Caenorhabditis elegans: one gene and its partners. The protein of the gene in region 4 interacts with the protein of the main gene of each other region in a pairwise test. Each region holds a gene or a part of one and is shown on either strand. Other genes may lie near its edges.

Evidence for each region.
Region 1: the proteins of B0281.5 (region 4) and cul-3 interact in a two-hybrid assay, tested with the Caenorhabditis elegans proteins (one large-scale study listed by BioGRID).
Region 2: the proteins of B0281.5 (region 4) and B0001.7 interact in a two-hybrid assay, tested with the Caenorhabditis elegans proteins (one large-scale study listed by BioGRID).
Region 3: the proteins of B0281.5 (region 4) and sma-4 interact in a two-hybrid assay, tested with the Caenorhabditis elegans proteins (one large-scale study listed by BioGRID).

Annotation. Positions count from the first base shown.
Region 1 is NC_003283.11:175,795-183,591, reverse strand, and holds the start of cul-3 (Cullin-3), read right to left. Parts: upstream 6,014-7,797; 5' UTR 5,949-6,013; coding exon 5,892-5,948; intron 5,123-5,891; coding exon 4,206-5,122; intron 3,401-4,205; coding exon 2,764-3,400; intron 2,110-2,763; coding exon 1,731-2,109; intron 1-1,730. UniProt on the Caenorhabditis elegans protein: Probable core component of multiple cullin-RING-based BCB (BTB-CUL3-BTB) E3 ubiquitin-protein ligase complexes which mediate the ubiquitination and subsequent proteasomal degradation of target proteins.
Region 2 is NC_003282.8:12,150,663-12,155,991, reverse strand, and holds B0001.7 (Movement protein), read left to right. Parts: upstream 1-1,746; 5' UTR 1,747-1,749; coding exon 1,750-1,989; intron 1,990-2,032; coding exon 2,033-2,191; intron 2,192-2,235; coding exon 2,236-2,301; intron 2,302-2,347; coding exon 2,348-2,602; intron 2,603-2,661; coding exon 2,662-2,997; intron 2,998-3,046; coding exon 3,047-3,344; intron 3,345-3,464; coding exon 3,465-3,670; intron 3,671-3,722; coding exon 3,723-3,804; intron 3,805-3,853; coding exon 3,854-4,020; intron 4,021-4,066; coding exon 4,067-4,177; intron 4,178-4,223; coding exon 4,224-4,289; intron 4,290-4,344; coding exon 4,345-4,483; intron 4,484-4,535; coding exon 4,536-4,618; 3' UTR 4,619-4,800; downstream 4,801-5,329. Other genes in the region: B0001.2 (uncharacterized protein), read left to right, coding at 5,028-5,080, 5,154-5,325.
Region 3 is NC_003281.10:5,814,474-5,820,731, forward strand, and holds sma-4 (Dwarfin sma-4), read left to right. Parts: upstream 1-1,758; 5' UTR 1,759-1,803; coding exon 1,804-1,875; intron 1,876-2,075; coding exon 2,076-2,153; intron 2,154-2,308; coding exon 2,309-2,623; intron 2,624-3,198; coding exon 3,199-3,339; intron 3,340-3,643; coding exon 3,644-3,748; intron 3,749-3,793; coding exon 3,794-4,007; intron 4,008-4,238; coding exon 4,239-4,399; intron 4,400-4,531; coding exon 4,532-4,659; intron 4,660-4,707; coding exon 4,708-4,873; intron 4,874-4,918; coding exon 4,919-5,020; intron 5,021-5,328; coding exon 5,329-5,451; intron 5,452-5,499; coding exon 5,500-5,592; 3' UTR 5,593-5,724; downstream 5,725-6,258. Other genes in the region: R12B2.7 (Ovule protein), read left to right, coding at 761-781, 834-1,040. UniProt on the Caenorhabditis elegans protein: Involved in TGF-beta pathway.
Region 4 is NC_003280.10:2,299,354-2,302,613, reverse strand, and holds B0281.5 (BTB domain-containing protein), read left to right. Parts: upstream 1-1,652; 5' UTR 1,653-1,795; coding exon 1,796-1,909; intron 1,910-1,959; coding exon 1,960-2,205; intron 2,206-2,257; coding exon 2,258-2,375; intron 2,376-2,526; coding exon 2,527-2,672; 3' UTR 2,673-2,760; downstream 2,761-3,260. Other genes in the region: B0281.6 (BTB domain-containing protein), read left to right, coding at 385-504, 558-800, 850-964, 1,053-1,213.

The DNA of each region.
Region 1 (7,797 bases), on a different chromosome or scaffold from region 4:
GTTCAAAAACGTGAAAAAGGCAAATTTTACTAGGGAATGGTGTTACCCCTGCAATCGCTAGGAGGACAAAACAAAGTGAAAATGGAAGATCAGATCTATGGCTACAAGAATCAGTTTTTGGAATCTGCTTAACTCGGTCCCAAAGCTGAAATTTTCGGTCTTAAAAAGTAGTCCTTTTTTTGCTCAAAATGCCGTTTTTCGTGTGTAGAAGTGGCTACATAAAAGTTTGGCACTGCAGCCGCCGTTCGAATGGCCGATTGGTGAACTCTTGTGCTCATTAATCTAAAGGTCACGGGTTCGTTCCCCACTAGGTATTAATTTTTTTTTGAATTTTTCCTCTAGCATGAAATATGCACAAAAACACGGTTTCTTCCGTTTTTTGGTAACTTCGGAATAAATTTTTTGGTTCCTGGGAATCATAAAAGTAATTTGGAAACTTTTTGGAAGTTTTCTTTTTTTGATAAATTTTCACTTTTCTCCCACCTGATGTATGCACATTTTTTTCTTCAAAAATAATTTTTCAAAATTTTTTCAAAAAGTGTTTGGTTTGAAAGAGCAGCATTAGTTTGGATATTTCTACGATTTTGGAGGATCAAATGTCATTTTTAGGAGAAAACCACTGTTGTTTTCTCTAGACTTTTTCACGAAAAGGACCTACTTTCAAAGACTTCCAGCTCCGTTGACGAGTAAAATAAAAAAGAGTTGTCAACTGCAAAGTTATTTTAAAAGTACCAATAAACAAATTGTCAGTTGAAGTTACTCTGCTAAATTTTATGGGTAGAGAGATATGGACATTAGTAATTAAGTAAGTTAAAGCTTCACTTCGATTAGCTATATCTCTCTACCCATAAAATTTAGCAGAGTAACTTCAACTGACAATTTGTTCATTGGTACTTTTGAAATAACTTTGCAGTTGACAACTCTTTTTTATTTTACTCGTCAACGGAGCTGGAAGTCTTTGAAAGTAGGTCCTTTTCGTGAAAAAGTCTAGAGAAAACAACAGTGGTTTTCTCCTAAAAATGACATTTGATCCTCCAAAATCGTAGAAATATCCAAACTAATGCTGCTCTTTCAAACCAAACACTTTTTGAAAAAATTTTGAAAAATTATTTTTGAAGAAAAAAATGTGCATACATCAGGTGGGAGAAAAGTGAAAATTTATCAAAAAAAGAAAACTTCCAAAAAGTTTCCAAATTACTTTTATGATTCCCAGGAACCAAAAAATTTATTCCGAAGTTACCAAAAAACGGAAGAAACCGTGTTTTTGTGCATATTTCATGCTAGAGGAAAAATTCAAAAAAAAATTAATACCTAGTGGGGAACGAACCCGTGACCTTTAGATTAATGAGCACAAGAGTTCACCAATCGGCCATTCGAACGGCGGCTGCAGTGCCAAACTTTTATGTAGCCACTTCTACACACGAAAAACGGCATTTTGAGCAAAAAAAGGACTACTTTTTAAGACCGAAAATTTCAGCTTTGGGACCGAGTTAAGCAGATTCCAAAAACTGATTCTTGTAGCCATAGATCTGATCTTCCATTTTCACTTTGTTTGTCCTCCTAGCGATTGCAGGGGTAACACCATTCCCTAGTTAGCAAAAAAAACCCAACTTTGCCAACTTTCCCATGTCCCATGGGAAAGTTGGCTGCAGCGATTGGAAATTGATTTTTTTTTCAAATTATCAATTTTTTTCAAAAAAATTCGAAAAACTATAATTTCCTTTTCATACCTATCGCATCTTTTCCCTTATTCTTTCTGACCAAAATCCGCTGCGACGCTTTTCCGAGAGCCAGCGACTGCAAATTCCTCTTCAACTCTCGCTCGGGAATCTTAAGCTCATCCATCAGCTGCTGACATGAGATCCGATTGTGATGGTTGAACTGAAGGAGAATGATCATCTGATGCGTATTGACCTGGAGAATCTTGTGCTCCGGTTTTCGTTCTTTCATCGACTCTCCACTGCTCGACGGTCCAGGACCATTTTCCTCGTTTGACATGGATGCTTTTGGTGGTGGATAGAATGTGGCTTTGACGTCAGCGTTTCCGAGAAGTGTGTTGATTGTCAGCTTACGGCCAGTGTGCTTTTCAGTGTAGTATTGTGTGAACATCTGAAAAACGAGGGGAAATTGAAGAAATTCCAAAAATCTTTGTGAAAAAATATTTTTTTAAAAATTGCCCTGGTTTTATATTTTAGCTTGAAAGCACGTTTAATCGCACCCAATAATATTTTTAAACTCGCGCCAGAGATATTCTCATTGGAGCGCACCGTGTTGTGTCGATTTACGGAGATTTCAGTTTTTCCACAAAAATGAAACATACTTATTGAAAAATTGAAATTGGCCTGAAAATTTCATGAGAAATCTCGTAAATCGACACAAGTGTGGCGGTCCAATGAGAATGTCTCTGGTGCGCGTGTGAAAAGCGATTTCAAGCAAAAATAATAGATATTCGGAATCTTTTTTGGCTTTTCTGGCAGAAAAATGGATTTCTAGGTATTTGGTCAGAAAAACTAGAAGAAACGTTTTTTTTTTGAATTCATCTCATCGCGACTGGAAATTAAATTTTGAAAAAAAAACATACTTGTTGTTTTTTGATTGGAAAAACCGAAAAAAATATATATTGTCTCTAAAATGCACATTTTTCTGTATAAAAAATCCATCTTTTGGCAAAAAACGACAACCCTGCGTGTAAGCAGACATTTTTGCGGGTTTTGTGAAACATCAAGCTCAAAAATTGCAAAACCAATTGAAAATTCGAATTACCTCATAGGCAACCGACAACTCTTGCGGCAACACAACCGGATTACACTGAACCGTCGGCCAAACGCCCGCCGTCAAAACTCTAAGCGATATGTCAATGCTCATTTTGGTCGGCTGAGCCTCTCGCCAGTCTCTGAAGCTTGTGGCCAGTGTCAGCCAAAGCTCCTTGTCTCTGAACATATTCTCAAGCTTCTGAGTAAACTGGCAACCACACTCTGTCTTCAGCTTTGCCAGCAGAGCCTTCTCCACATCGTCGGAGCACGATTTGTCGAGCAAGAGACGTTTGGCGAGGTATTGCTTGAAATACTTCTCGAATACATCCTTCTCCTGTAGATAGCGGAACAAGATCATCACATTGTCGAGCTTATTGTCCATTTCGGCGTCCGACACACATTTCAGACCGCTTCGCAGCATATCGTCCATGTAGAGGGCCACAAATTCCGGCGATTGGCGATTCGAGTTGAGGAACGTCTCGAAATCATGCTGGAAGCGATTCTTAAAGTCACGATCGTCGGCAAACGCAGTGGTGAGCAGACTGGAGAAGTAGTCTTTGAGCTGGAGCAATTCGTTGACAAAATTGACGGGGTTTTTGAGCAGATCCTCATTTTTCACAATGTTCGAGCCGGTTTCGTTGAGATATCTGGAAAAAAAAGTTAACTTTTCTTGCTGAGCAACCCCCAATTCTGCTCTAGTTTTCTGAATGCTCCGTGTTCAACTGTTAGGGTTGGTGTTATCTAAAAACTAAAACCACCAACAGCTGAGGCGTTTTAAGGAGAAGCGGCGGTGTTCGACGTAATGGACAACAGAACAAATAAACAGATTGCTGCGGGCGAGTGACACGGGTTTAGGTCAGAAAAGTAGAGTTTGATAAATAAAAATACAGTAAATTGGCTGGAATTTAAATTTCTTGAAGCGAAAACGTGGCCGCGAAACCTCTACTAACACGGCCATGTGTAGATTTACGCGACTCGTGTACTCCACGTGGATTATTTTTTACGGTTTCTGGCTGAAATGCTTGCATTGGTGGTGTTTTACCATTAAAATTAGAAATAATTTGAACGATTAAGCATTTTAGCTAAACACTGTAAAATCCTCTTCAAAAAAAGTGCCAAAGTAAAGTCTAGATTTAACCATCAAATACATAAATTTTCGAGGAGCACAAAAGCTGGTTAAACCGACACATGGAGCCATTTTGGGTGAAATTTTCAATTTTTTACAAAATAAAATCATTGAAATCTCCGCATTAAAGCAAAAACCCGTAATTTCTGGGGTAAAAAAACAAAATTTCCCCTCGAAGAGTACACAGGCTTCGTAAATCGACAGATAACCATGCTAGTGCCTTTTTGTGGTGAAAATTGTTCAAATTTTAATTTTACAACGTTCCTCCCACGGCTGTAATCACCAAATAATTCAATTTCTAAAAAAAAATCGCGCGAAAAACTCACTCGCTAACCGCCTTAAGCAGCGCCTTCAATCCACCACCCGGTACTGTCACCGAATCTCCGATACGTTTGAAAATACGGAAAATGCGAGTCAAATCCTCAATCTTCTTGTGCTCCAACATAAACTTCACACCACCATTCTGCATGTAGACAATCGTCTGAATATGCTCAGCAACCATCACATCATCCATCACCTGCAGGATTTTGGCCTCTGTCATTTTGTCAAGATATCTCGACGCTCGGCTCGCCTCGTCGTGCATCGCAATCTCCACCTGTGCCAGATAGAAGCACGCGTCATTGTCGCCAGAAAGCCAATTCTTGCACACATCCCGATAGTAATCACTAGTCTCCTTCAGAAGTGGCCTCTCAAATTCGTCCTCATAAACCGTCCGGCTATCGATTCCTAGCGAGATGAGCATATCACACGCGTTTTTTATTCCGTGCCAATTGATTTGATTCGATTTTCGATCCAATTTGATAAGCTCCAGAAGAGCATCGCGAATTCGGTCGCCAATCCCGTTTTGCCGCAGAATTTCCGTCCGATACGCGTCGAGACCCAGATTATAGACCGGCAGGACGTGATTATTCTGTGCCACGTAGATCCGATCCATATACATCAGAATATCACGAATCATGACCATGGCGACAGTGTGATCAGCCCACGATTCGGCGACAGTCTCCAGGAAGCTTCCAGAATTCATTGATTCGATAATTCGAATTCGAACCGACGCCATATGATCCTGAATCACGTCTTTCAGGCCATTATAGAGACGTTCTCCGTGCTTGTGGAGCACCATTGTATATGCGTTGCGGTAGAGCTCCTCGAAACTCAAGCCCGAATTGTTTTTGCGTTGGATTTCCTGTATGGCACGCTTCAAAAGTTCCCATGTCTGTGTCACATATTGCTCGTCTATTGTGGCCTGAAAAAAAATCATTTTTCTCCGTTTTTTTTTTGCGGCTTTTCTAAATTTTGGGCATTTTCCTTAAATGACCAAAAACTGGCCCGACTATTAAAAAATTTCCAAAATTTCATTATAAGAATTCAAAATTTTCGGAAAAGCGCCAAAATTTGCTAAACTCAGGGATTTTCCAGCTAGAAAAGTTTACGAAATATCAGATTTTAGCAAAATTTGGCAAAAATTTTGGAACTTTTTTGGGATGAAATTCGGTAAATTTCGATCAAAAATGCGTTTTTTTTTCGTGAAAAAAACGCGAAAAACTCTTATGTGAGGTCATTTTTGCGAGAACATTGCCGTTTATAACAAATTTCATGTTTCTAATGGCTAGTCCAAGCAAATAGGAAAAAAAATAGAAAATCGATAAAAAACGGCGGAAATACGATTTTACAGTTTTTCTCTTCGTTTTTTCCTGGTTAAACGGTCAAAAACAATTATTGACCATTAGAAATCCCTCAGAATCGATTTTGTTATATGAAAAAAAAATATTTTGCTTTTGTTCTTTAGAAATGACGAGTTTTGGCACGTGGCACGCAAACTGAAAATGATTGCCACGTGGCATACAGTTGCCAGTGGAAAAATATCAGTTTCTCATCAGAAATTGACGGATTGTTCGGATATCGCGGATAATTCGGCCGTAACATTCCAAGTTTCGTTTTAAAAAAATCGATTTTTCACGCAAAACAAGGAGACAGGCTTGATAGAGGACTAAAATCTGTGTGTGTAAACCTACCATAAATGGGCGAATTCTCATTTTTTGTTGTCCACCATTACCGGAGCGTCCGCTCATCTCCAAAAATGAGTCGATTCCGAACGAACTGGTCAAGTCAGAATCTCGCTCGTTTTTCGTGCACACTGAAATAAACTTGATTTTCCGTTCTCGAAAAGCAAAAAATTTGAAAAAATCGTACTGCGGAATGTTATTATTGCAGAAAAAGCGCGCACTGATAACAGAAAAAACAAAACTAACTATTTTCAGCTTCAAAGTTGAGAAGTCGCGAGTAATTCGAAATAAATCGATTTTGCTTTGTTTTTTTTTCGAAAAAACTTTGAAAATCCGGTAATTAGAATGTCACGCAAAAATAAATAGCTGGATATCAACTTAATTACTCGGAAAAATCAATATCATTATCTCGAAAGTCACTGGAATTTTAATTTCGCGCGTTTTTCCAGAACTTTTTGCCTATTTTCCGGCTCAATCAATCAATATTTCACTTCGAATCAAGTCTAAAACACCTTTAAAAGCTTCAATTTCGAAAAAAACTATGAAAAATGCGAGAAAAATCGAACGGGAACAGTGTGTTTTGGAGTTCAGAAGTGCACCGAGACTGCGTCAATGCGGGTTTGCTGGCGCGCTCCTCGTGCGTTGGCGCTTTTCTCGTGAGGAAGCTTTAAAAATTAATTTTCAACCAGAATTTTAGAATTTTCAGAGAAAATTGGCGGTGTCCACGTGGAAAAATAAATAGTGTTTTCGGTAGAATAAACTTTAAATTTATTTAAAAGTACAAAATTTGTGGAAAGCCCTCGAAAATCGGTTGAAAACGATCTAAAATGATTAAATTTACTTAATAAATTAACAATATTCGCTGTTTCAAATTAATAGAAAGTCGCAAAATAAATATTTTTATTTGAAAATAAGATGATGTTGAAATTGGAAATTTGAGAAAAAACAAGAATTTTAAAAAAATCAGAAAAATAAATAAAATTATAATTAGCCGAGTCGAAGTTGACGTTGAGAAGAGGAAGTTGAGTGATCTGAAAAAAGAAACAGTTTAATAAACGAAAACGAGTTTTAATACTTCAGGAAGGAGTACAGAAATATACAACATTTCCTATTCAAGCGGAAAACGGAAATTATGGGGTGTTTAGGGTGGCGGAAGAAGCTGGGATCAAATCATTCATACAGTTCAACTACAATGATTCGAGTCATGGCTTCCTGGATCTTATTACTTTTTATTCTGAATTTTTTAATTTCCTGTAAGTTTTGCCAAAAGCTAGGATTTTTTGAAGGCGTAAAAATCGTGTTTTGCCATAAATCTGAGTAATCTTACAATTAGTAAGCTGAGCGTAATTGTTCAAAAAATGGTATAATTTTTCACAATTTTTCTCAATTTTGCACCAATAATTCAAAAATGGTCAATTTATTATTTCGAAATTTCTGCGTTTTAGGCTTTAGGCTAAGAGAAAATCCAATAAATATTGCAGGAATACGCAAAAAATAGAATTCATTCGCGCAGGAATTCAAAATTAATGTGGTCATTTCTAATTTTTTTTGCGAAATTTAAAAATAATAGCAATTATATACAGATTTTTTTCACTGTTTTCTCTTTTTTTGCAATTAAAGTCAGGGCTACCGTACTCCTGGTGGCTCGTGTTCTTCACCGTGTATATTACGGTAACGCAAAATTCTGAGAATGCGTATTGCGCAGCAAATTTGACGCGCAAAATATCTCGTAGCGAAAACTACAGTAATTTTTTTAAAAATTGCTACTGTAGCGCTTGTGTCGATTTACGTGCTCGATTTTTGAAATGAATTTGTTTCCGAATAGTGATATCGATATTTTATTTTCCTCCGCGCCTGCATAGTATTTTCTAAATTTTTTGCTCAATTTTAATCGAGCCCATAAATCGACACAAGC
Region 2 (5,329 bases), on a different chromosome or scaffold from region 4:
TTCCAGAACCTTCTGGAAAATTCGAAAAAAATTCTGGAACATTCGTGGTGAGACCCATAAATTTTGACCGAAAACTCAAAATTTCTGAGAAAAAATTTTTGGCGGGAAATTCAAATTTTCTGAGAAACTTTTTGTTAGCTTAAGTACCACCTCGAACTGGCGAGACCCATCGTGGTGGGACCCTTAAAAATATGGGCGAGAACTTCAAAATTTATGAGAAAAGAAATTTTGGCGGGAATTCAAATTTCCAAGAAAAATTTTGGCGGGAAATTCAAATTTTCTGAGAAAAAGATTTTGACGGGAAATTCAAATTTTCTGAGGAAAACATTTGGCGGGAAATTCCAATTTTGGTTCTGGAATCAATTTTTGTTTCAGCACCTTCTGGAAGTTTCAAGAAAATTCTAGAATGTTCTAGAATCATCTGGAAAATTCAAAAAAGTTCTGAAATGCTCTACAACCTCCTATAACTGTAGGAGTTTTTATTTGTTTCGTCACATCTATATTCAAAGAACTTACTATTAGTAGTTAATTATTCAGACTTCTCCAGTTAAGGAAAGTTATTAACTTATTGAAAAAACTGTAACTCTGTGGAATTTTTTCGGGGGAGGGGGACAGCTCGCCACCCCAACAGTGAGAAAAATAGTGTGGTGCGCGGACCTCGAATGATGCTGATATTACCTGGGGTACCGCTTTTTGCCTTTTCCCCGTGAGTGAACGAGAAAAAGGCGGGGACTATTTTGGCGTACACGCAACGCAGTTTTATAATTTTGAGTGTAGAAAAATCAGAACATTCTAACTGTCTCTTTGAATTTTCTGAATCGAATACCATGGAAGAAGAAAATGCGATTTAATCGATGAAGTTTCAACTTTTTTAATGATATATTTTTGAATGATTAAAAGGACATCTATGTGTTATACATTTTAAACTCCGCCAGTCGTTGGCCGCGCCGGAGGCGCGGTCATCGGCTGGTATATATATATATATATCTACTCATATTAGTTTTTTTTTCCGCTAAAAAAATATACTATTAGAATTTAAATTTAAAAAAATTATTACTAGAAAATGGAATTTAATATTAAATTTAAAGAAAAACATGTTTTTTGAAAGTAGTTTGAATGCATTTACAGGTTACTGTAGTTTTAAAGGCGCATGACATAATTTTAAAATTTAACTTTTTCGCTGCGATACCTTCACCGCGAGAAATCTTTTTTGTGACATAATTTCTTCATTTTTGTTGGTTTGTTTTCGCTGAAACTGCAAAAATTGAATTTTAAAATTGTATTACTAATTCAAATTGCGAAAAATTATGCGAAAACTTTTTGAAAACCCGCATTTTGTTGTAAATTTTCCGATTTTAAGCTAAAATTATGGTTTTCTAGTTAATTTTTTAAACTTTATCAATTTTCAAAATTTATTACTGCTTAGATTTGAATTTTAAAATTATTTAAATAAATTACAATTTTTAAAGCGCTTTGAATGCATTTAATGGTTACTGTAGTTTCAAAGGCGCATGGCATGAATTGTAATTTGAATTGCTTCGCTGTGAGACCCTCACCGCGAGCAGTCTAATTTTTGTGACCTATTTTCTCAATTTTCATTTGTTTCCTTTCGCTGAAACGCGAATAGGTTGATTTATAAATGGTTTTTTATCAATTAAATTGCAAAAAAATGTGCGAAAACTATTTAAAAACCCATATTTTGTTTTAAATTTTCAGATTTGTGCTAAAATTATCGTTTTTTTTCAGATAATGTCGGGAACAAAAGTTCCCTCTTTACCGAAGGGCAAAGAAAAACCGTGTGTGGTTACTTTTGCCACACAAAGTGATCGATCTAACGAACCGCCACCACAACCGAGAGTAAGGAAAGTGACAACAATCATCAATACATTAGGAGTTGTCGTTCGAAACACAACAACAGAAATTGGAGTTTGGGTGTTCACTTCCTGTGTAGAAGTCTCTTTTCCAAGATCAAATTCACCGATATTCTCAGTAAGTGAAGTTGAATAAACGAGTTCTCTAATTTTTATTTCAGAATTTCACATTGGGCACTTGGATGATTGTTGGTTTATATCCTGACGCGACGGTTGCTTCATGTTCACCATGGCCTTTGATTCTCAAAGCTTACGAGATGAGTGTATCATATGGAACTGTATTTATGAAACGAAAGGCTTCAGAACTTTGTCATGAAAAGGTTGGACGTGAACTGTTTCGCTCAATTGACGGCAAAACTTTCAGACGGTTTTGTATAGTGAAGTGGTCGTCCCGCTTGTGAATCCATATAGCAACATGTCATATTTCGAAGTTAGTGCAAGGTCATAATTCCATTTTTAAATAACTAAATTTTCAGCGCGATCCTCATCTCACGGCGGAGCTGTACATGATTCCTGGATTTGGCCGTGTGCTCGGATCCAGCGCTTATCGGCAGTACTTAGAGGACAATAGAGATAACGTTTCCTTCATAGTTCAGTATTGTGGAGGATCATTACGCGGTTGCAGTTGGATAATGTCGGTGGTTGATGGAAAAGCTCAGACCGATGGCGAGTTCAGTGACAAAGATCTCAGAGAAATTGCTGAGTTCATTCGTGAAAGACACAACAAAGAGGTTTAACACACATTCGATTAATTAGAAATTTCAAAATTAAAGTATTAAAACTTTTTCAGAATGAATCACCCCCTTTGCCGTCTAACTCTATCGCTCGTCACGCCGGATTCGTAACAGAAGTGTTCCCACAAAAAAATTATCTTTATTGTTGGTCACCACAGGTTTCCTTGGAAGCAGATCATACGGCGAAATTTCCGCAGCCACCAAAACATAGAGAAGTAGACAGTCCAATGTTGTCTCCGCTAGTAGGCCAATGGATCCAATTTGATGTGCAGTCAAAAGATTTGGATAAGTATATGAGCACGAGATCTGGATATCGATTGAGCATTCAAGAATATTTACCCATCAACAGTCCGTGTGGCGTCGGTGTTGTTCAATGTGGTAAAATTGTTCGAGTGAGAAAAATCTATCCTAAATGTATTTTAATTATTTTATTTTTTTTAGGTCATGATTTCATGTATTTTGGTGAAAAGCACCGATCATCCGATGTTGTTCGAATTACAAATGTTTGGACCTGTCATCGATAAAAAATCGTCTTTAATTTCGGGAGCGTTCATGCAGATAGTCCTGGAGAAGACATCATCGAGAATCCGTAGAATGAGTGGAGTTTGCTGGAGAGTAATCTATTCGCTCATTGTGAGCGGCGCTGAAAATATGGTGGAAAATTCGCAGAGCGTGCGAATCGAGGCAATTTCCCAACGAGACGCCATGGAGACTTCTCACATCATTCCTATAGAAAAGCGTAAGTAAATTTGACAGATTTCATGTGAAATTCGATTCATCACATGAATTAGAAGCAATGTTATTCAAGACCTAGTTAAGATTCCATGGCTTATTTCCAATAATGATGTCTCATTTACAGCCTCTAATTCAGGAACTATTACAAACAATACTGGAGTGACTACATTGAAGTATCAACAGCCCCATCAAAATCCCCATTATCAGGAGCAGCGTCGAGATTATTACATGGGAAACAACATTCAAATTCAAACAGCATATAATTCCACACAACTTCGGAAGTACCAACCGAAACCGAAGAAATTCTCGTCATATACCGGAGAATCATTGGTTCGCTCTAGGCCTATATTTTTTTTCGAAATTAATTTTTTGCTTTTTTCAGGAAGGTCATGCGCTCGTCGAAAAGATTATGGCTCATGCGAAAACCGGAATCTTATGGTTCTTTGATAATTATAACTCCAGTGGTATAACTTTTCAGAAAAAAAATTATTTGAACACATTGAATATATTCAGTTCACTTCATTTTCGATGATTTTGAGTTGAATGTTGGTGACTATGCGTATGTGAAGCTGATCCAGAAGAAAGAGGAAACGGCTCATCTGCAATTTCGATGGAAATGGATATCTGGAACAAAGAAACTTTCACCATTCAATTGTCGCATCGATCTGTTTCAGTTGTTTGTATGTTTTCAGAAATTATGATAACTTTAATTCGGTTCATTTTCAGATAGAGGAACAAGTGTCTTACAAATCAAAGGACATGTTAAACAGAAACACATACACTTCCAAAAACTTTCCGATAATTTTCGATGCTGATGGAATTATCAAAAATCCCATTGTAAGATAAAGTCGTTTCGTTCGAAACATAAAATTAATTATTACAGCCAGGAGCCATATATTGTGTGGTTATTCTTCGAAAGAAAATTCAAGTGACGCAAACGGAAAGCCCGGTAAGTTGAATTTTTTTTATAAAGATAATAAAGTTTTATATTAATATTATTATAGACTCACAAATATCAATGGATTATTGATTCTGCTCAGAGCAATCCGTTTATTATAACGGAATACTACAATCCTCACAATGCTTTCAACAGATCGTTCATAGCCTCAAAGCAATTTTCGAGTTCAGCAGCTTTATCAACTGGTAAACAATTATCTATATTAGCTACTATAAATAAACAAAAAATTAATTTCAGACTCGAAAAAAGGATCCTCCGGTTCTGAAAAATCATCGACGTCTCCTCCGCTGAAAAGTCTCACGCCACCTTCAGATGAATAATTATGATGACTACTAACTTTTTCTTCTGTTTTGCATGTTATTTAATCATATTGAGACAGATCTCCCTACCTGAAAACGTGTTCTTTATAACTTGCCGGGTGCCGAGTTTTTCACGGTTTCTGTCCAACTTGCGCATTAATCGCGCCCCGTATTTGTTGTATTTTATAAAAGTTTCCCAGTTTCTTATTAAACTTTGTATCTCTGTTCATATGTACCATCCGTTTCCACCGGAAAGTTGTATCTTCTTGAGAGCATTGAGAGGCCAGAAAGAATTTTGTTTAGTGAAGCAAAACATTTTTCACTTTATTTAATTGCCGATTGATTAAAAAACGCCCCCAGATGTCCTGTTTTCTATTACAAAGTTTCCCGTCTTGAAACATTGACCGTTAATATATTTTAGTCATAAATAATGCTCGGATTAGCCGCACAACGAAAATCAAATGGGAAAGTCGCCGTAGTCTCGTGAGTTTGCTATTTTTTCTAAATAAAATAATATTTTCTCGAATTAGGTTTAATAAATATTTTCAACTTTCAGTCCAACAGATGGAATCGAGTTCGATGTTAACGAAGATATTCTGAACATCCACATGATCTTTCTGGGAGACTTTTGCCAAATCAATGTTGAGAATAATATTCCGATTTCTTATTCAAAAGTGGAAGATGCGTTCAGGTCTTTAAAAACTGAAGTGAGAACAGATACTGTTGAGGTTA
Region 3 (6,258 bases), on a different chromosome or scaffold from region 4:
TTGGGATCAAAGCAAACATGCTCTCTCGCTAATAAGTTTGCAACATAGTGATCATCGTATATAGCGCATTTGTATTGCCGTTCTGCTGATCATGGTCTGAAGCAGCCAACATTGTGCGGCACCGCCTCCCTAATATGAAATTTTAGTGACACACGAAGTGCCCGCTGCTGCTTCAACACTTAAAGATATGTTCTATTGATGTGACATACGTGACCGTTGGCAGATAAGCAATAAACCAGGAAAATGTCTGAAAATTAGCTATTTCCCTTTCTTTCAACTTGTGCCACTCTCTCTCTCTCTCTCTCTCTCTCTCTCTCTCTCTCTCTCTCTCTCTCTATTTTTCTCCGATTCCATCCTCTCCTCCTCTTCCCATTCACCTGTTATGATCATTTATCGTCACTGGCGCCGAAGAGACGCAGAGTGATGGGTATGTGGAGGTAGAGAACACATATGGGCACATCCCCCTTACACAAATTAGGTGTGACGGCTTCGAATTAAATTGATCGATGAGCAGTCCGCACCGATGGGACAGTTCCCGGCATATTGAACAAAACAGTGTCTCAGGCTGGTTAAGACACAATTTTATGCTACACGGTGTTGTCACGTAGATTGCGGTTGGTAGAGTTTGCAGGGACGCAGAGAGGCTAGAGACTTTGGCTGTCTGCACTCTCTCCTCGCCTTCTCACCATGTGGCCGCGAGATATATTGATGGCCGAGTTTTCTCCATTCATAATGAAACAAGTCCCCCGGATGGCCAGAAATGGTTTTTATAACTTTGTTTGTGGGTGACCTAGTTCTCTCAATTGTTTCAGATAATTTAAACTATTTTGCAGAATGGACTGTTCACATTTCTCTATCATTTTATTTTTTGCTCGCTGAGCATTTCTGATCTTTTGATGATGTACTTTTTTACTTCCTTCGTCATTCCCACCCTGAACGATAAACTAATTTCCCTTTCGATTAATGCTTTTTCTTTTCCAAAATTGCACTTTTATCATTTTCAAAGAAGAAAAAGAGATGGCATGACAATTGTCAGATGATTCTGAGGTTCGACTTTATTAAAATTAGCAATGTTTTTTTTTTATGTTATGGAGAATTTTTTAAATAGTTCTCCACTGACTCACTGTTGAATAATTTTTACTTGTAGAATTGTTTCTGTGGGAGAAGCATTCAAAAATTAATCACATCTATTTTCAGAATTCCACTCCTTATTTTAGTTGTTTGTTGTTACATGTACTTATGTACTTAGTAATTGACACATTGCACAATTATTTAAATGCGTGGTAAAGTGCACAAAACAAAGAGTATAAGAATATAGTTTGGTTTTCATAGTTGGAATGCTGGACTGATTGCTGGAATGTTGGAATGTTTGTTGTGGTAGGTCGGTGTGTCTGCTGTAGTTAGGGAGTTTTCCCTAAATCCAAGTTTTCAAACACACTTCATCCTTTCCTTGAAAGCACAATTTAAAAAGAAATAAATCATATAATTGGAACATTTATTTTTAAATTGAGATCCCATTGCTGTTTGATTTGTCCCTTCTTTCTGATCTTCATCCTTAATCGTCTTCTTCCGTTGTCACCTCGAATCACAACTTCATTTATTCTTCATTATCTGATTATCACCAACCGTTCTAAGTAAGCACCTCCCATTTTCTCCATTCAGCTCTCCCGTATTCTCTGCTTCCCGTGACTCCGCCTCTTTTTTCAACTTTTTTGTGGGTTTGCTATCATTTTCTATCTCTCAATCTTTGTCACTTTGTTCTCGAAAAACGTCTGAATTGGTCGAATAATGTTTCATCCAGGTATGACATCTCAGCCGTCTACTTCTAACCAAATGTATTATGATCCTTTGTATGGAGCAGAGCAAATTGTACAGGTGAGCACTATATTGTAGGAGACAGTTCAAGAGAGAGCGCGAGAGAATGAGAGAATATGAACATTTTTGGGGAACACTTATCTATTATAGTAGTCTAGTAATTGCTTCTGATTCTTAAAATACAAATAAAACTGTCTTCGTGCTTTGCATTTAGAAACTGAAGTACAAAATTCAGACAATATTAATTTTAACTATTTCAGTGCAATCCAATGGATTACCACCAGGCAAATATTTTATGCGGAATGCAGTATTTCAACAACTCGCATAATCGATATCCGGTTGGTTCAGTGATATTTGAAAACTAATTCTCTCAAAAATAAAATGGACCTCATTTTACTATTTTTCTGCATATGTAACGAAAAAATCAATAAACTTATATCCCAGTGACCAAATCGATAAGCTTTTCAAAATTTATTAAATCAAAAAATTTCAGTTATTACCTCAAATGCCACCACAGTTCACAAATGATCATCCATATGATTTTCCGAACGTGCCGACAATAAGTACTCTTGACGAAGCGTCTTCTTTTAATGGATTTTTGATACCTTCTCAACCATCTTCATATAACAATAATAACATTTCTTGTGTATTTACGCCTACACCATGTACATCATCACAAGCTTCATCCCAACCTCCACCTACACCTACAGTCAATCCAACACCGATTCCACCGAATGCTGGAGCAGTTCTCACAACTGCAATGGATTCATGTCAGCAGATTTCACATGTTTTACAATGTTATCAGCAGGTAGAAGGGGTCTTTGAAAAATAGAAAAATTTTAAGTAAAAATATAATGTTTTAAAATACTTGTTTTCCTATTAAAATACATTTCAAGTTGTATGGATTTTAAGTTTTCAAAAAAAATTGCTGAGAAAGTTGCATATTCATATCTGCTTGGGATTTATGAAAATTTTCGAACCAAAAATTTAGATTAAACTGAAACTTCTCTACATTTGAAAATAACGTACTAGACTTGAAATTTTTATTTGATTTCCTCTGATGAAATCATTGAATAAAACTCTGAAAATTTCAGAGCTCCAGAATTTTTTCTTTCTTGTAAACTTTAACATAAAACTTTAGGAAAGAAAAAACTCTGGAATTTTTACAAAATAGTTCTGAAACTACTTTTCCACTTTTATTTTTCAGAACAATTTTGAAAAAGGTATTCCAAAACTTGTCAAGCAAAACAAAAGAAGTTTTAATAATTAAAAAAAACTCCAAACTACAAAACAAACATTGTGGGTACGGCAGGCGCCAAGATAGCTGTGGAATTTGAAAACTGGAGCATTGAAAGAGAATTAAACAATTTACACGTGTTTCAGGGTGGAGAGGACAGTGATTTTGTACGGAAAGCCATCGAATCTCTTGTCAAAAAATTGAAAGACAAACGAATTGAATTGGATGCATTGATTACAGCAGTTACTTCAAATGGAAAACAACCAACTGGATGTGTTACTATTCAGGTTTGAAATAATACAACCTTTTGCTTCTGTACAGTAACCTAAAATTTTTTATTTTATGCTTGGAATTTTCGAAAATTTCAAAATTCCAGATATAAATTTCAGCAGTTTATGGGTATTTCAAAGAGAAAAACATGTTGCTTGCCAACTTTCTAAAATAACCAACAAAATTTTCAAATTTTTTTTCGTGAATTTGAAGTAAAATAATAATGTCAAAGTTTTTTCCGGTTTGAACATTTTAAATGGATTTTTGTTAGTACTTCCGATTCTTCAATTTTAAATACAGTTATCATCTTTAAAAGTTTAGAGATCCTTGGATGGACGCCTTCAAGTTGCTGGACGGAAAGGTGTTCCACATGTAGTTTACGCAAGAATATGGAGATGGCCAAAAGTTAGCAAAAATGAACTTGTGGTACATGAAAATGTTTGAACTCGGAAATAAACTGAACTATTCCAGAAATTAGTTCAATGTCAAACTTCATCAGATCATCCTGATAATATTTGCATTAATCCTTATCACTACGAAAGAGTTGTCTCAAATCGGATAACAAGTGCAGATCAATCACTTCACGTGGAGAATTCACCTATGAAGAGCGAATATTTAGGAGATGCAGGAGTTATTGATAGCTGCAGTGATTGGCCGAACACACCTCCTGATAACAATTTTAATGGTAAGAGTTGAACTCCAAAACTGTAAGTAGAGGTGGCTGCTCTCTCTCTCTGACTTTTATGCCTGCCTACGTACCTTCTAATACTTATTTGTTTGATATGGATGTTTAGTGAAGATAAAGGGTAGATAGAGGCATTTCTCATCTGCCCAAGATGAGCATGAATATATTTAATACAAAATCAACACTGAGAATTTTAGAGACCGATTTTAAATGTGACCCAATTTTTTTCAGGAGGATTTGCACCAGATCAACCTCAGCTAGTCACACCGATTATTTCTGATATTCCGATAGATCTCAATCAAATATATGTTCCAACACCTCCACAATTACTTGATAATTGGTGTTCAATCATTTATTATGAACTGGATACACCCATTGGTGAAACCTTTAAGGTATGTTTTTCTATGAAATCTGATGACTATTCATTCATGGTGCAAATCGCCTAGAAATTTTTGTGAAAGAGCGTGATTCTATCAAAAATGTGCAATGGCGTTATTAAATAATTTTAATTTTCTAAATTTTAGGTCAGCGCCCGCGATCATGGAAAAGTAATAGTAGATGGTGGAATGGATCCACATGGAGAAAATGAAGGAAGGTTATGTCTTGGAGCACTTTCAAATGTTCATCGAACAGAAGCTAGTGAAAAAGCAAGGTAATTTTAATTCAGGATCATGAAGAAAAATATAACACTGTTTTGCAGAATCCATATTGGTCGTGGTGTTGAATTAACCGCTCACGCCGATGGCAACATCTCTATCACTTCAAATTGTAAAATTTTCGTCCGATCCGGGTACCTAGACTACACTCATGGATCCGAGTACAGTAGTAAAGCACATCGATTCACTCCGAATGAATCTTCATTTACAGTATGTTCCCATTCAGGGAGTTTTACAAATGATAGAATGTTACAGGTATTCGACATCAGATGGGCCTACATGCAGATGCTCCGACGTTCTCGATCAAGCAATGAAGCAGTACGAGCACAGGCGGCAGCTGTTGCTGGATATGCACCGGTTAGTAGTAATTTGCAAGCAAAAAAACGACTCGACGCACCATATGGTGCATCATATGATCAGTGTACTGATTTTCTGCACGGACCCAATGCCATAGTTCACTTAAAAATTATTAGTGAAACTGACTAAATTTGCGACCAGGGTGATGTATTATTTCTGAGAATCAAAGATTCAATTTACCCTGATGATGCTTCGGGCATCAGCTAGCTAATTGTACACTTTTAATTCACAGACTCAAAGCATCATATATCACGAACACGAACAAGCAAAGCCTGATACCCAAGTTTAAAAAATATTTAAAAATTCAGATGTCCGTGATGCCAGCGATAATGCCTGACAGTGGAGTTGACAGGATGCGTCGTGACTTCTGTACAATTGCGATTTCATTTGTAAAAGCTTGGGGTGATGTCTACCAGAGGAAAACTATTAAGGTATGTCGACTACTCTATAAGAACTAGTCACCAATGACTTTTTTCCAGGAAACCCCATGTTGGATTGAAGTAACTTTGCACCGTCCTCTACAAATACTGGACCAGCTTCTCAAAAATAGTTCTCAATTTGGAAGTTCCTAACACTTATTTTTTATTTTTCTTCAATAATGATATCTACCTGTATTTACGTACCCCAGCAGTTTCTCATATTCATGTGCGTTGTAAAATCTCCTTTTTTGAATTTTTTCACTTTGGAAATAAAGTTTTTAGCATAGTAAATACAACCACACTATGTAAAAATAGGTTGCAGGAAAAATCAAAGAAATTTTAAAAAAATGAGCGGTTGAGTTTTCTCTTTTGGTGGCCGCGTTGACGAAATGGAAGAATCAAACCATATGCACCATTGTCATCATATTTACTTACCCAGAGCCATTATGGTTGATTGAAAATTCATGGTTGAATTCTCACATATGGAATATCATTCCCACGAATTCCCACTAATTTCTTCAATGAAGTTCAAAATAAGAGTGCTCGACGGTCTCTCCCCTCTGTGCCAGTGACAAAAAAAGTGCCCCATTCCGGGAGAATTATGTCCCTTGAGAACCATTTTGCCAGGGGCCGTGAGTGTGTCGCCCCCTTTCTACTCTATCCTAGTGGCCCTTTGTCTGTGCGACACAAAATATTCCAAAAGTAACACTATCATTTTTATTGTCTTCTCCTACACTCATCCCCATTTCACTGAGCCATTCCTCTGAATGTTGCAGTTTTATGTGCAATTTTTTTCAGAAATCACAGAGTTTTTCTTTT
Region 4 (3,260 bases):
ATCGAGTTTACATTTTTATTTCAATTTTCAAGACTCACCTGAATAAATTTTTATTGCGTTCCAAAAACTTTGTTTTATTTCAATTGATCATTTTGTGACAAAATATTTTATTAGTTTTTTTCTTCTGATTTTTGTGAATATCAATGTACATAGAAACTTTTTCAAGGCTGGAACAAAGTCAGTTTTCAGATTTGACCAGAGTTACCCGTTTATAGCCCGTATATATTATATCTAGTTTGTTGCCTGTCACACACCTCAAACCCCAATTTCCGTTTGGTTCTCGGAAATAGCAAACTATCACATGCATTGACGTGAGAACTTGTGGGGGTTGGTATCCATACACATTTACTTTGCTGCCCATTTTGGTTTTGTTTCTCTATCAGGATGGGCTCTTCTGAAAGTATCGTCAAATTGAATGTTGGCGGAACTGTGTTCGTGACTTTGAAATCAACTTTGACTAAACATCATGGAATCTTCAAAGCGTTGGTCAAAACCGAAATGCCTGTTGGTTCTTTTTTCCAGTTATTATTTACATAGTTTACATTTATAAAGTTCAGGCTGAAGATGGCGATAGTTTCTTCATCGACCGCTCTCCGAAGCATTTTGAAACGGTGCTGAATTATATAAGATCCGGCGATGTTGATCTTCCAGACTCCGAGAATGAACTGAAAGAACTGAAAAGGGAGGCGGAATACTATTCGTTAGAAAAGCTGGCAACGTTGTGCCAATCTTCAATGCCAAAGATTAAAAGTTACAAAACGGCTGATGAACTGTTAAACATGATTGCGAACACCAAGAAGGTTAGTTTATTTACATACAAATCAAAAAATGAATATAACTTGTTTTCAGGTGGTCGTTGTTATTCACTACCTCGCTTATAAAAATCAGCTACACACCATCCCTCTTGGATTTAAATTTTCCGAGTTTGTAGAGAGAAATAAGGATAAAGCGGAAGTGTTTATTTGTGAGTTTAATACCTAGTTAATATAATAGTACGGATTATTTAGTGATTCCTTTCAATTGATGACAGTAATTGATTTTTATAATTTCAGATGAGATAAAAGACGAAGAGGAGTTGAAAGATAAACCGTACGTAGATGATCCCAATCGTGTTTGGAGTTTTTGTATCTTCAACTCCGAGTGGTCAGAAAATTATCCGCTCAAATCTTTGCGGGACATACAAGTGCAGTTAGACTGCTTCGGAGATTTCTAAGACCCTCAAAATCGATCAAATTTATAAATTAACCGGCATCTGAAAATTTACATACATTATCTTTATTTTATTATATGAAAGTATATATTATTATTACTAAACCCGTCCAGAAAACTGTTATATGTCTAGTTGCGATTAAAAATAATTTTGAAATAATCGAGCAACTCTCATTGTCTTGGTCACCAATTATAGTTGTTACACAGCTAGAAAAAGACAAAGAATGGATACCAGTTGTGTTTCTAAAAACCGAGCAACGTAAAACGTTACGTCAACAAGCGATGGTCTATGCTCTCAATCTACGCTGTTTATCGATTCATTTTTCTTGACCTAGATCTTCCTAGATATAACAGTCCTCCTTGAACCTTGCACATCGGCGTATCTACGCAGGTTCTGGTGACCAAAACTATCTGCGTCTCTTCTCTCTGTTCTGCACTATTCAAGACGACGGGAGGGCTCATTTGTAGTCGTTTTTGCCTTGTATTCTTTCTTTTATCTCCCTTTGCTGTTTACCTTCTTCCACTGTAATTTTCTGTAATACCTGTCGTGAATCGTCTGAATATCAGATATTGCACAGCCTTCAATATGTCTGGAAATACAGTGAAATTGAATGTCGGTGGAACTGTATTCGAGACCTTGAAATCTACTCTAACTAAGCATGACGGATTCTTCAAAGCGTTGATTGAAACTGATGTTCCGGTGAGTTACTTTTTGGACTTTTAATTAATTATAAACATTTTCAATTTCAGGCTGAAAAGGACGATTCCAACTGTTTCTTCATTGATCGGTCTCCGAAGCACTTTGAAACAGTTCTCAACTACATGAGATCCGGTGATGTAGTCCTTCCGGACTCTAAAAAAGACATGCTAGAATTGAAAAAAGAAGCTGAATACTACCTGCTGAGCAATTTGGCAAAATTATGTCAACCACCAACGGACAACTTTAAAACATGCACACCTGAGGAACTGATGCGTGTAGTTGCGAACACGGATAAGGTTTTTTAAACATTTTGTTTTACTAGCTCACAAAATATTTAACATTTTCCAGAAAGTTATTATGATCAACTATTTAACTTACAATGGTGAGCTCGTCTTCTACCCGTGGGGTTTCAATCTTGTTCATTTTTTAATTCAAAATCGCGATTATGTGGAGGATGTCTACTTTCGTGAGTTTTAGGAGGTTCCAAGTCGGTGCATAGCAAACAACGGTTATCAGAAATTAGGGAAGAAATAATGTCGGGTCGTTTTGATATTGATCTATCAGGCTGCTAGTTTTCCAGTCACATTAGCAAAATCCATACATTGGTCTGATTTCAGGAAGAACAGAATCTCAATACCCAGAGGACGGACCTTTTCCAAATGAGAAGCCATATTGGACTTTTCTTGTCTACAATTCTACGCGTTCAGGTCGTCGACCATTCCGGCACACGGTGGATCTGGAAGATTGTATGGGCCATATGTAGCAGATAAATTAAATAAATTCCACAACGTTACCTGAATTAATTTTCCACCAAACAAATGATGATTTCTCGAATAAATTCCTTTTCTTTCATGCAACTTTTCAACCTATTTCTGCAGAAATTTGATCATGTCATATCACTTTTGAGTGTACAGTTTTTATAACATTTCAGGGGTACAGTAGCTCCACATTACGGCTTGATCTACAAAAAAGTGGGAATTTTTTCTCAAAAAAAAATATGACGTCAGCACGAAAAATCAGCTAAATTCCCGTGATTCCCGCAGATCTACGTAGATCAAACCAGGGGTGGGCGGCAATTGCTGTTCGGCAAATTGATTTGTCGACAAATTCGGCAAATCGGCAAACCGGCAATTTGCCGGAAATTTCCAATTCCGGCAATTTGCCGGTTTGCCGATTTGCCGGAAATTGTAATTAACGGCAAATTGCCGGATACCAGATTTGCCGGAAATGTTTAGAGTAATTTTTTATAAGACGGAAGCACTTAAAACTGTCCATTTTTGAATTTTTCCCGTTTTTTCTACATATTTTCATAGAATATGCGTACTTTTCAAAATAGATATAGGAAAATTTA